3 linked regions of the Drosophila melanogaster genome follow. The protein of the gene in region 1 interacts with the protein of each later gene in a pairwise test. Each region holds a gene or a part of one and is shown on either strand. Other genes may lie near its edges.

What was found.
Region 2: the proteins of Mpcp2 (region 1) and CG15211 interact in a two-hybrid assay, tested with the Drosophila melanogaster proteins (one large-scale study listed by BioGRID).
Region 3: the proteins of Mpcp2 (region 1) and CG17574 interact in a two-hybrid assay, tested with the Drosophila melanogaster proteins (one large-scale study listed by BioGRID).

The regions. Positions count from the first base shown.
Region 1 is NT_037436.4:14,535,824-14,539,581, forward strand, and holds the start of Mpcp2 (mitochondrial phosphate carrier protein 2), read left to right. Parts: upstream 1-1,827; 5' UTR 1,828-1,879; intron 1,880-1,902; exon of another isoform or gene 1,903-2,025; intron 2,026-2,180; 5' UTR 2,181-2,208; coding exon 2,209-2,598; intron 2,599-2,905; coding exon 2,906-3,246; intron 3,247-3,729; coding exon 3,730-3,758. Other genes in the region: CG43246 (uncharacterized protein), read left to right, coding at 811-1,069, 1,121-1,368.
Region 2 is NC_004354.4:10,770,669-10,774,426, forward strand, and holds the start of CG15211 (uncharacterized protein), read left to right. Parts: upstream 1-1,872; 5' UTR 1,873-1,958; intron 1,959-2,099; exon of another isoform or gene 2,100-2,129; 5' UTR 2,130-2,330; coding exon 2,331-2,498; intron 2,499-3,758. Other genes in the region: BTBD9 (BTB (POZ) domain containing 9), read left to right, coding at 1-404.
Region 3 is NT_033778.4:12,851,523-12,855,280, forward strand, and holds the start of CG17574 (uncharacterized protein), read right to left. Parts: upstream 2,019-3,758; 5' UTR 1,961-2,018; coding exon 1,801-1,960; intron 61-1,800; exon of another isoform or gene 47-60; coding exon of another isoform or gene 1-46.

The sequences.
Region 1 (3,758 bases):
CCAATCTCTTGATTACTTTTCGACTTAAGCTTCCTCTTCTCAGACTAAACCCAAATCGATCAGTTTATCGCATCCACTCTCAAGCTTTCAAAACTTATCCACATTCAATTTACTAAAACACTTTGCCGTAATCTCTATTTCAGATCCAGCTCCAGTTAGCAGACCGTTACACAAAAGCACTAACACAAAACACTTGGCAGAGCAGCTCTCCTTACGTTTAACTTTAATTACTCAATTATTTGCCAGATTTTGTTGTTTTTCACTTCTTAAGTTGGAAATTAGCCGCGAAGTACGCAGACCTAAAACGTTGGCCAACTGATTAGAGCGAGCGAGAGGCGGCGAGGGGCACAACAACGATCATATCGGATCGGATCTCGGATCGAATGGGAATCAACTATATATCGGACTACTACAGCGCGCGTGTGCGAACGCGCTACGAACCAAACTCAAACTGACGACCGAACTTCACTCCACAGAAATCCACGAGCGAGCAAACACAGCAAATACAAAAGCACAAGCAAAAGCAAAGACGGCGGCAAACAAAAAGAAAGAAGCACAAAGACAATCGAAAGACAGACTCAAAGCTTAGCGAAAGAGTCCGTTGAAGTTCTTTTGGTAAGAACCACAAAAAAGGCGGAAAGGCTTAAATAATCCTTGAACTTAATAATAACCTACATAATATAAATATCCAAGTGTATATTATCAGTCACTTTTGTTCGTTTTGTAACAATAGTCGTACATAGTGGCCTTTGGAAATACATACATAAACTTTATCAACGCGGTCTCATTGAATTATTTTTCTTATTTTAAATGTCTTTTAATTGTATATATTTTCTTATTATACTCAGTGGGAGACTGTTGATCACCTGTGCCGAAAAAAACGTATCTATAATAGAAAATGGGAGATGCTTAGATTGTAGGAAGGAAAATACGGAAATGTGTCGGATTAAAGAGACAGGATTCAGTTGTTATGAAGGAAACTTTTATAGGCGATTGGGTCGTCTACAAGGTGAATTCCCAAAAACAACCAATAAAGAGGGTGTTTGCGTTCCACCCGGACTGCATATCGGTATAAGAAGCATTTGAATAGTAATAAAAGACTAATTTTTTAATTTTACAGATACTATGAATGCCAAAGTCTGCTGCGTTTGGTCACCAGAAATCGGTTGTCAAATCTTATTAACTGAAGATCACCAGGGTGAATTTTGCTTCACTTGCAGAGTGAAATATAAAATGGAATACAAAGGCCTAATTTCCTGTCCGTGCGTAAAAAGTGAAGGATTGGGCCAACCCCATGTGAAATCATGGCAGAACTTTATTTTCACATATTTACTCATAAAATTATCCAGTTTTACCATGGGGCTATAACTTATAAATTTAAAATGTACATATAATTGAAAATTGTTATATATTTTACAGAGAGTTCTAAATACAATAAAGCTTTAGATTAAAATTTGTTTTATTGTGTAAAAATAGAAAACAAATCACAAATACTATGCAAAAATATGAGGATTTTACAAATGAATTTATTATTTTTTCAAAATATTTACAACTAATGTTATCAATATGAAATTAATATTAATAATTAATATTTTATTCACAACGAAGGCAATGGCATTAAAATAATCTCACCTGATACCTCGTATGCAGATGGTTCGAGTCCACGCTCAGGCGCCACCAAAGTTTTGCACCAAGGTTGCAGTCCATAGCCGAAGATTTTGACATGAGTGTGGCCAACTATCCTCAATCCGCTAGTTACACCTCTCCACGGCAAAACCATTAAGGCGTTTTGGTATTCGTGAGAAATCGCTGCACCTCCGTGAGCCCCCCCTCATTCTTTGAATCCTCGCCAACGAGCCGCTAACGTTGCTGACGAATAGTAAGTGCGAAAATTCCGAGCGAAAATTGCATAAGTTTTGTAAAATCGAAATCAAAGTAGCCGAGCGGTGCTCTATCGCTCCCTTAACATACACTAAATTTACGTGGTTGCTTAAAATCCTTCGCTTTTCGGGTAAATTTGGTGTCGTAAGTCCGGGTGCTCGGAATTCGAGGCACGCCGTTATGTAACCTACAAAAGCGAAAAGCAGCTGATTACCCAGCTATATATATAATTAGATAAAGCACATGTCGCCTCCGAGGTACATATATACGTAACTAATGGATGGTCTCTCTACTTTCAGCCGACCCCAGAACAAGAACAGAATCAAGATGTTCTCCAGCTTCTTTGAAACTGCCCGGAACTCGCCATTCCGCACCCCCATGTCGATGGCAAGATGCGATGCCGCCGCCCCAGTGGTGGAACCCCAGCCGGTTGAGGGTCGCCAGATCGCCGCCGCCGCTACCCCGGTGGCCAACCAGCAGGATTCGTGCGAATTCGGCAGCACCAAGTACTTCGCTCTGTGCGGAATTGGTGGCATTCTCAGCTGCGGCACCACCCACACCTTCGTGGTCCCACTGGATCTGGTGAAGTGCCGTCTGCAGGTCGACCAGGCCAAGTACAAGAATCTGGTGCACGGATTCAAGGTCACCGTGGCGGAGGAGGGCGCCCGCGGACTGGCTAAGGGCTGGTTCCCCACTCTGCTCGGCTACTCGGCACAGGTGAGATTGGGCTTCACTTTATGGGTTGCATAATCGTCTGGAGGCGAATTATATGCTCGTGACCAGGTCGGCTGACCTTAATTACATCGGTTCCGGGCTTGAAGCAGATAAAAGTGATTCGAATCGAACATTAGGAAGTTTGATTCCTAGGCTGATATCTTAGTATACCTCAGAATAACAACACACCTTTGACAACTTTATGGTTACGGGAGAAACAGATACCGAAGATAAAATCTTGGATACTACTGCAAACTGAAAAATAACTTCTGAGAAACAGCAGGCTAATCCGCGTTTCTGTATCTTTCAGGGTCTGTGCAAGTTCGGTCTGTACGAGTTGTTCAAGGTGAAGTACGCCGAAATCATTGGCGAGGAGAACGCCTACCTGTACCGCACCTCCTTGTATCTGGCTGCTTCCGCTTCGGCCGAGTTCTTCGCCGATATCGCTCTGGCGCCGTTCGAGGCCGCCAAGGTGAAGATCCAGACTATTCCCGGATACGCCAACAACTTCCGCGAGGCAGTGCCCAAGATGCTAAAGGAGGAGGGCGTCAATGCCTTCTACAAGGGTCTGGTTCCCCTGTGGATGCGACAGATCCCATACACCATGATGAAGTTCGCTTGCTTCGAGCGCACCGTGGAGCTGCTCTACAAGTAAGTAACATTTCCTCTTTAGGTATCCTCTAGTTTCTACAGCGGAAAAACTTACCAGTGCTGTGCACAATATCTGTATTCGTATTAGCGTTTTGCTATTACAATAGTTTAAAGGTAGACTGTTAATCTGTGAAATTTCAAAAGTGATATGCTAATTGATCAAAACTGAAAGTATTCATAATAAAATAAACTTTTAGCGCGTCAGCAGATAAGAATGCCATTCGTATCTAATAAATGGCACGCCAGAATAAAAACCAACGACGAATGCTTATCTTGTTCAAATATAGGAAAATCATATTATTTCAGAACTAGTTTGTTACTATGGATAAAATAAAAAAAGCAAAGCATTCCTTTTGAAGTGCAAATTAGCAGGTAGCCACTGAAAGTTCAAATGTAAAAACTAGAGCAATACCGTTCACAGTTCGGGTTGTCAAGCCCCAACGAACCCCGTTAAATCAATACTAATGATGCAACTTTTCCCAGGTATGTGGTGCCCAAGCCTCGTGCCGACT
Region 2 (3,758 bases), on another chromosome or scaffold:
CGGCCAAGACTGACGATGACAATATTGCCTCTACCTCGGGATCCTCGTTGGCTTCAGGCCATGCTGAAAGTCCCTCCACTTCCTCCAGCAGCAGCCAAAGCGTTTTAAGGTCCATCCACTGGCCGCCACAGACAAGGGAAGTGGCCGTTGCCCCACTCACTCCGCCAGCACTCTCCCCGCCCGGCACGCCAGCACTTCCGGCTCCTCTGACCCCGGCAACCTCGTCGCCGCATAACAACCATGAACAAAATCAGCCAAGTAATATCAGTGCAGACGCAAGCCACCACACCAGTCCAAGTTCAAGGAGCAACCCCAGTCCCAGCCTAAGTAGGAGCAGAAGCCAGAGTGCGGAGTTGGAGCCAGTGCCGCCATTGGTTGAGCTTGACACCAGGGAGACGCTCTGAGCTGATCGCCGCTGCGGCCGATAATGTTTTGTACTTGAAATACTCCTGTGGTCTGTTAGCTGTTAGTCTCCGCGCTTAGTTATATTTTGCAGACCGTGCTGCTCTTGTTATCTAGTCCTTCCCAGTGCCCCAATGCTTGGTGGTTCCAAAACCTGTGCATTGCATATTGGTTTTGCGTTATTACCTTCGTTATATACTATATGTATATACATATATATATATATAGATATATGTTTTTATAATTTTATTGTGATCCAAAAATAATTCCTTATGTTTGCAAGGCAGCAGAGTTATTTATATAAGCAATATAACTGAATTCTATGCACACACACACCCACCCACACACACACCACACACACACACCACACACACACACACATGTTTAACGCGAACTCGAATGCGATTTCCGAGCAGCTGAACCAAAATTGTATACGATATCCGATCGCATAGTATAAATCTGTACTGTCTAGCCTTATGTCCGGTCCATGTCCTTGTCCAAATCAATCCATTTGATCCGCAACTCGTAGTCTTTAGGCTCATCGAGCGGCCCAAAAATTAGGCTCTATTTATTAGGCAAATTTTGTCATAGTTTGTATTGCACGCAAATAAAAGCTAACCAAAAAAATGAAAACACCGCTTATTGTTTCACTTGCAAACCAATCGGTTTCTTATAAAATTTTTAAAGTCCCTCACACATTTCAACCACGAATTGTGCCGTGTGTGACCACTGTGCACCACACATGCCACCCACTGTTGCCCCAACATCCACAACACGCTCCACTGTTTTGAAATTCCGATCAGAGGCGACCCACGGCCGTGCTGCAGCGGCAGCCATAAAAGTCGAATCAGAACGTTAAACCAGTTGCGACGCACAGTGGGCGTTGGGAAGAGAGAGAGGGACGCCGATCCAGCGAGCGAATCAGAAAGAGATGGCGAAATGCAGTGCTAGCCAAACGGGAATTTGTGGGTTCTTGAAGAAAACTAAAAAAAAAAGAAAATATTACTCATACGCCGCGTTGTCTACATGATTTAATAATATATATTGCATATTTTGTACGGATGGTTTTAATAAAATGTAAATGTTTTATTGAGAAATCTAGACAACTGTATTTATTTAATAGTTTTACTTTTATTTTGGAATGAACACAATCACACAATACGGTCAATCTGGCCCACTGTGCCGATTATAACAGTTAGCGGCGCAGGCGCAACAAACTAGTTTGCCCCACAAGCAGCGGGGAGTGGCAACTAAGGGGGGTGGGGGGTGGTTCTATTTAGGGCGTTGCAGGGGCGTCGTCAAAGGGCGCGCGCAACTAAATAGCCAACTGACTAACTAACTAACTGGGAGAGCGCGAATGTGAGTGTAAGTCCGAGTGGGAGTGGGAGAGCGAGCGTGAGTGCGCTAGTGTGGAGCGGAGCGGCGTGCGGTTAACCGTTAGCCTGCAGCGGCGGCAAGTTCAGCTCGCAGTTCAGTTCAGTCGACCAGCGGCCGCCGTGGACAAAGCAACGTAACGCCAAAGCAATCGCAGCGCAGCTCATGGATATATAGCTACAGTTAACTACCAGATACTAAACTACACACATTTCACCACATACCCAAATATACCCACCACACGCGGCATATATCTCTATATATATATTTGAGAATTAGAGGCGTGGGGGTTTAGGGGGTGGGGTGGTAACTCGCGCGAGGGCGTCACACGCGTTCATATACATCAGATATAGATATATAGGGTAGCTGCCGATCGACCAGCGAACATATAGAAAGCGGTGGTTATTTTTCTCATCTTATTTTATTGTGACAAAAATCGCGACAAGTGTTTAAAAATAGTTGTTGTGCCCAGCTAATAAAGTAAACTTGCCCGCCAAACTGAAACTGAAACTGAAACTGAAACTAAGCCAAGCCAAACTATAAACAGCAACAATATGGTCGAGACCGTTGTCAATATCGAGCGCACAACAACAACAACGACGAACGGACCGCCAGGTGGAGCGAACCCGACCGTTGGCAGCGGTGGCGGCTTCTGGAGCGCCATTCGCCTCAACATCGACTATTTCCGCACCATACCGGGCATCATCAAAATTGTGGAGTTTGTGAGTACATACAACTAGCTGAGATATATCACTACTATATTTTTATAATTCATTATAAAACAAATGAAAATCTAATACTTAATATTGCAACATATGATATTTCGAAACTATTGAATACGATCCACTTGAGTAGAAGTCTTTTAAAAACTGAAACCAAAAACTGGGCCAAATTTCCAAACATATCAAAATTATGTACATTACATGTTTCTAAACTCTTAGATTTAAAATATGCATAAATGTCGGTTTAAATAGAACTTAGGAATGCGATTATGTTGAAAAAGTACCATAATGTACATACATTATTTTGTGGAATGCTAAATTCAGACATAAGTTTCCGAATTTGGCTGTTATCGTATTTCCTCGAAACTGATAGAGCCTTCGAAACATAAAGTTTCAGAGGGAAATATTAAAATATACGTTGGATAATTGTTGTAGAGAAAAGTTAGAATTCCTCATAGCACTCTTATCGTCATAAATTGAACGGTTTTATCTAGAGTTTGCCTTCCGCCACCATTCTTTATCGAGATATCTCGAGACTTAAGAAACCCTAGAGCCTCGATGTGTACTCAATTACACAAATATGTATACAATATGCCCGACAACAAGTGTGTTGTGCACTTGCCCCTTTTGTGTGTACATATGTCAGGATCTCATTAGACTTACGACGGATAAGATAGGGGTAGACAAGTTGTAGGAACTGCAAACATGTGAGCTCCATGGCCATGTGGTCAACTCATAGCCCTCTTCTTGTATTCCACAGACGTTAAACACTTAACGCATTTGGCCTGGTATTCGAAGCTATGTATGATCTATCTTTTTTCCCACAAATCCGCAGCAAAATGAAGTTAAAGTGTGGGCGATGCAATCGGTATGCGACGCCAACACAAGGTACTCGCAATTATATGAGTGGGCACTGGGGTAACTCAACTACCGCTCGGATGGATCACCTGCTCAGGTGTAGAAAGTTTTCAGGCAAAAATTTCTCTATTCTCAATGGGCCAACGCTTGGTGGGCACAAGGTCAAGGGATAACGACAAGTGCTTGGGACCCACATGAAAAATGCATTATTAAGCGCTCGTCAGTTGTTACGGAGAAAATCAATAGCGGATAAATGGGAGGAGTGCTGGGTGCTTCGATGATATGATTACCGTCACAATAAGCTGTCGTTTATTAACTTATATATATTGATTTTCTGTTCTGAAAATCGGCTATTATCAGGCGACTAAGCTAGTTTAGCTGACGGCTGACGAAGTAATTTGC
Region 3 (3,758 bases), on another chromosome or scaffold:
CGGAGAAGGTGAAGAAAAGTATCCAGTAGATGCCCGAATCATCCATGATTATGATACTGACTGAATAAGCGGTGCACAAAGACTAAACAAAAGCGAGAAACTAAAGCCGCCGGATTGGCAATCGAAAAAGTGCCAGTAATGGCCAAAGAAAAGGGCAATCACACTCATAAAGATAGCACTTATCAGTGATAACAGTACACTTTCAACCATTATCATAACTTACTTAAATCACCGAGAGCCTGACGACGCTTCCAATGTAGTGCAACCAGGCCGATCAATGCCAAAATGAATATTTTGAAGGTTATGCGAAAAACGGATATGAAAACCACAGAGCGTTCCTGGGACTCCAGCAAGGAGCTGACCTCCGTTTCGTTATTCATTTCGGGAATACGTTTACAAATTGTTCCAATATCGAAAGTCTTCCGGATTTCGAGCAAGATTTAAGGCATATATCACAACAAGGGCAACCAAAACCGTGAGGATACAAGCTTCGTATGCCAGAAATGTCCAGTTTATGTGCAGTCGCTGGGAAATGTCCTCAAACACATCCAATATGGTGGCATTCATCGTGAGGACCTGCGACCTAACTAAATGGGTTTCATAATCATTTTCTGAATTACCCTGCATTTCGGGATCAACGTACGTCAACACTCAATCCTTTATGACCATTAGCCATTAATACCTAATTATTGATTTGCGTTTAGGCGTAAACGAAGCATTTAGTGGCACATTTGGAAATGGAATCCGAAATAGTAGGGAATCACAGTCGTTGTTATCAGCATATATTGCACAAATATAACAATAACACCCAGTCATTACCCACTCCAAACCAAGTCCTAAATCTCAGTATACCAAGATAGCCGGACTATTTCACAACAGAGGCTTTTAAAGTTTAGGATACTGGATAAGAAATTATTTTTAATTGTATTTGGAGGGGAAATTAAAAGCCTTAAATATGTCTTACATCTTTTAATATTAACTCGGATTTCTCATGCAAAAGACTTTACTTCTAGCTAAAGAACTAAATTCGCACACAATCCAAAATTTCTTCTAGACAATGACTTGAATATTTGAACCATAAATAAAATTGACAGTGCAGATAGGAAGCAAAAGCACTAAACCTTGGGCAATACCCATTATTATCATATATTTATCAATTTACAAGATCAAGTTAGGAAATCTAATGCAGACGCTTTGAATGACGTCTTCGAGTAATGGATTTAATTAGAAAAACAAGTTTTTCAGTGTATTAGATGCAGATACCGCTATCATGTGAGTTTTTACCTCTATTTACATGTGGCAATAATGAACAAAGTGACTCAAAGTGGACAATACGCAGAATAGTTTCAAAATGTTGTTAATTTTATCATTAAAAATTATAATTATAAAATAACTACATGCCACTTGATCTAACTACATAAAGCGGAAATTTTTGATTCATTAAGATGTGTCTCTTTTTAAAGCAGACAGCAGCATAAAAATAATAAGTACGGTATCTTAATAATGGGTTACCAACCTTTACAGTTTTTAATCTCCTTTCCAATTTTTAATCGTAGGCATATACAAATGGCCCCAATACAAATGGTCAATACAAAAATCGCAAACACTATAATCAAACTAAAGTCGTCTTCATTTGAATTCGAATTGAAAACATTCACAAAAAGAAAATTCATGATTGCACTGCAAACGCGACCTATAGACTAAGATAACTATCTGAAACTGCAATTATCTGTGAGTGTTAATAGATGCTGAAATAAGAGAGTTGGCTTATCGTACAGATACGTTAAGAATTGCTCTTACCTTCCGTCTTATTGCGTTTACAACAAGAACAACAACACTTGCAATAGCCCCAGATAAAAAGCATAAAAATGATTGCTATTAATCTGGCACCCGCTTCAGGAAGTTTATCGACACTTGGAGCATCGTATTTAGGTGGCGGTGGGAATTCTAAAGGAGGCATCTTTTTTCTAGTAAACACGTTTGACTGCAACGAACTGAGTAAATGAACTGGTCGAACTGTGTGTCTAAGCTCAGATCTTTTTGGACTGAATCTGGGAAAAAATTCAATTCACTAAGCCCTTTTTATTACGATAAGAAAAAGCGGACGAAAAAAAATATGCATGTTATCGTTTAGACTGTGTGTAAAATATTTATCCAGAATACAGAAAACTTATATAACCAGCTGGATTTTCAGTATTTAACAAGTATGGATGAAACAAGTACTACTTAGCTCTTTGTTTAATTTTAGTAATTTAGTGAACCATTCGCACATTTTTGCAGCGTACTTTTAGGCATAACCAACCAGAAGCCGCTAAAATACCCAATAAATATAAATTCTTGTCTTCTTTGTCTTTCCATCTGCTTATAGAGTCTTTGATATGTGACATCATAAATGGTCTCAAATGTATAATACATTTATTAAGATTTACAACGCACAACAAGTACGTAGTTCAATAAAAAAAACAAATTTGCGATCGATTTGAAATTTATGATTTAGTCACTATGAGTCAGAATTACACTCCATTTCCCAATGAAAGCAGTGACAACTACTATGAACTACAATATTACACCGAAGATGATTGAATTATTTGAAATTATAATAGGCTGACAAAAAAGGAAACTTTACGATCGAGCAGAGGTAAATGCAGTACAAAAACAATACATTGAAGAAAACTGCGATTGAAGTATATTTTGCCATTATTGGTCAAATTTTGCTAAATTCCAAATCCCTACCGATCCGAACGAAAGGAGCAAAGAAACTAAAATCTTAAATCACTTTAAATAATTACTCATACGCATAATATACAAAAGGTAAATACCACCATTCGCTTAAAAATTTGATTAGAATAATCATTACTCACTAAGCCGCACTCAAAAAAGTTTAAAAGATTTCATTACTTTTCTATGTGTATATCAAAAATTATGACCTTTGAATAGAAGTTTTTTAAACTTTTCTAAATTACTAAGAACGTAGTAAAACAGCAACATAGCGTTAATGCACCGAATGAATCAAAATATTTAACCAAAATTTGTAGAAAATTAAAATCATGGAAGCAATAAAAAAATAAAATTATTTTTTCAGTACCACATTCTTAAAAAGTACCATTATTTTTTTGAGTACGCTTAAATGTTGTAAACGACTTATAGTGGCTGCATCCGCTTTTTTTTTAAATCTTGTTCTTAATGTTCTGTTCACATCAGAATTAAATAAAACATATATTTTAAGTTCTTAGCAAAGGCAAATAGTGTATCCACTTTTTTTTTGTTTACGAAAAGAAAGCTACTATATATAAAGTAATTTTCTTAAACTTTGAATGTCGTCGTTTTTGTAAACTTTCTTATTTATTAAGCAGTTGATTCGGCAATCTTGTAGTGTTACAACCATGTAATAAATAACGAAACTAAGTAGTTAAACATAAAAAATTAAATAGATTGTTCTCCGTTCTCCATTTTGTTGAACAAAACAAGACACAGGAACTTCACACACGGAGCTTCGTCATCTGACAATTGGGAAGAACACAGGACAGCAACAAAGGATTTCTGCATCGAACTATACTAACTTGCTTCAATCACATCCTTGCCCGCCAGGCGCTGTTTCCTTTTGCGGATCACGTATCCTATGATCATTGCCACGACTCCGCAGAGGACCACAGCGAAAATGGTGCAAAGGATGATGGTGGAGATCTCCAGATCCCTGTCGTTCGGAACGTGCGGCATCCTAATCGAATTACTCACAACAATAGGTATTTACTAACTAA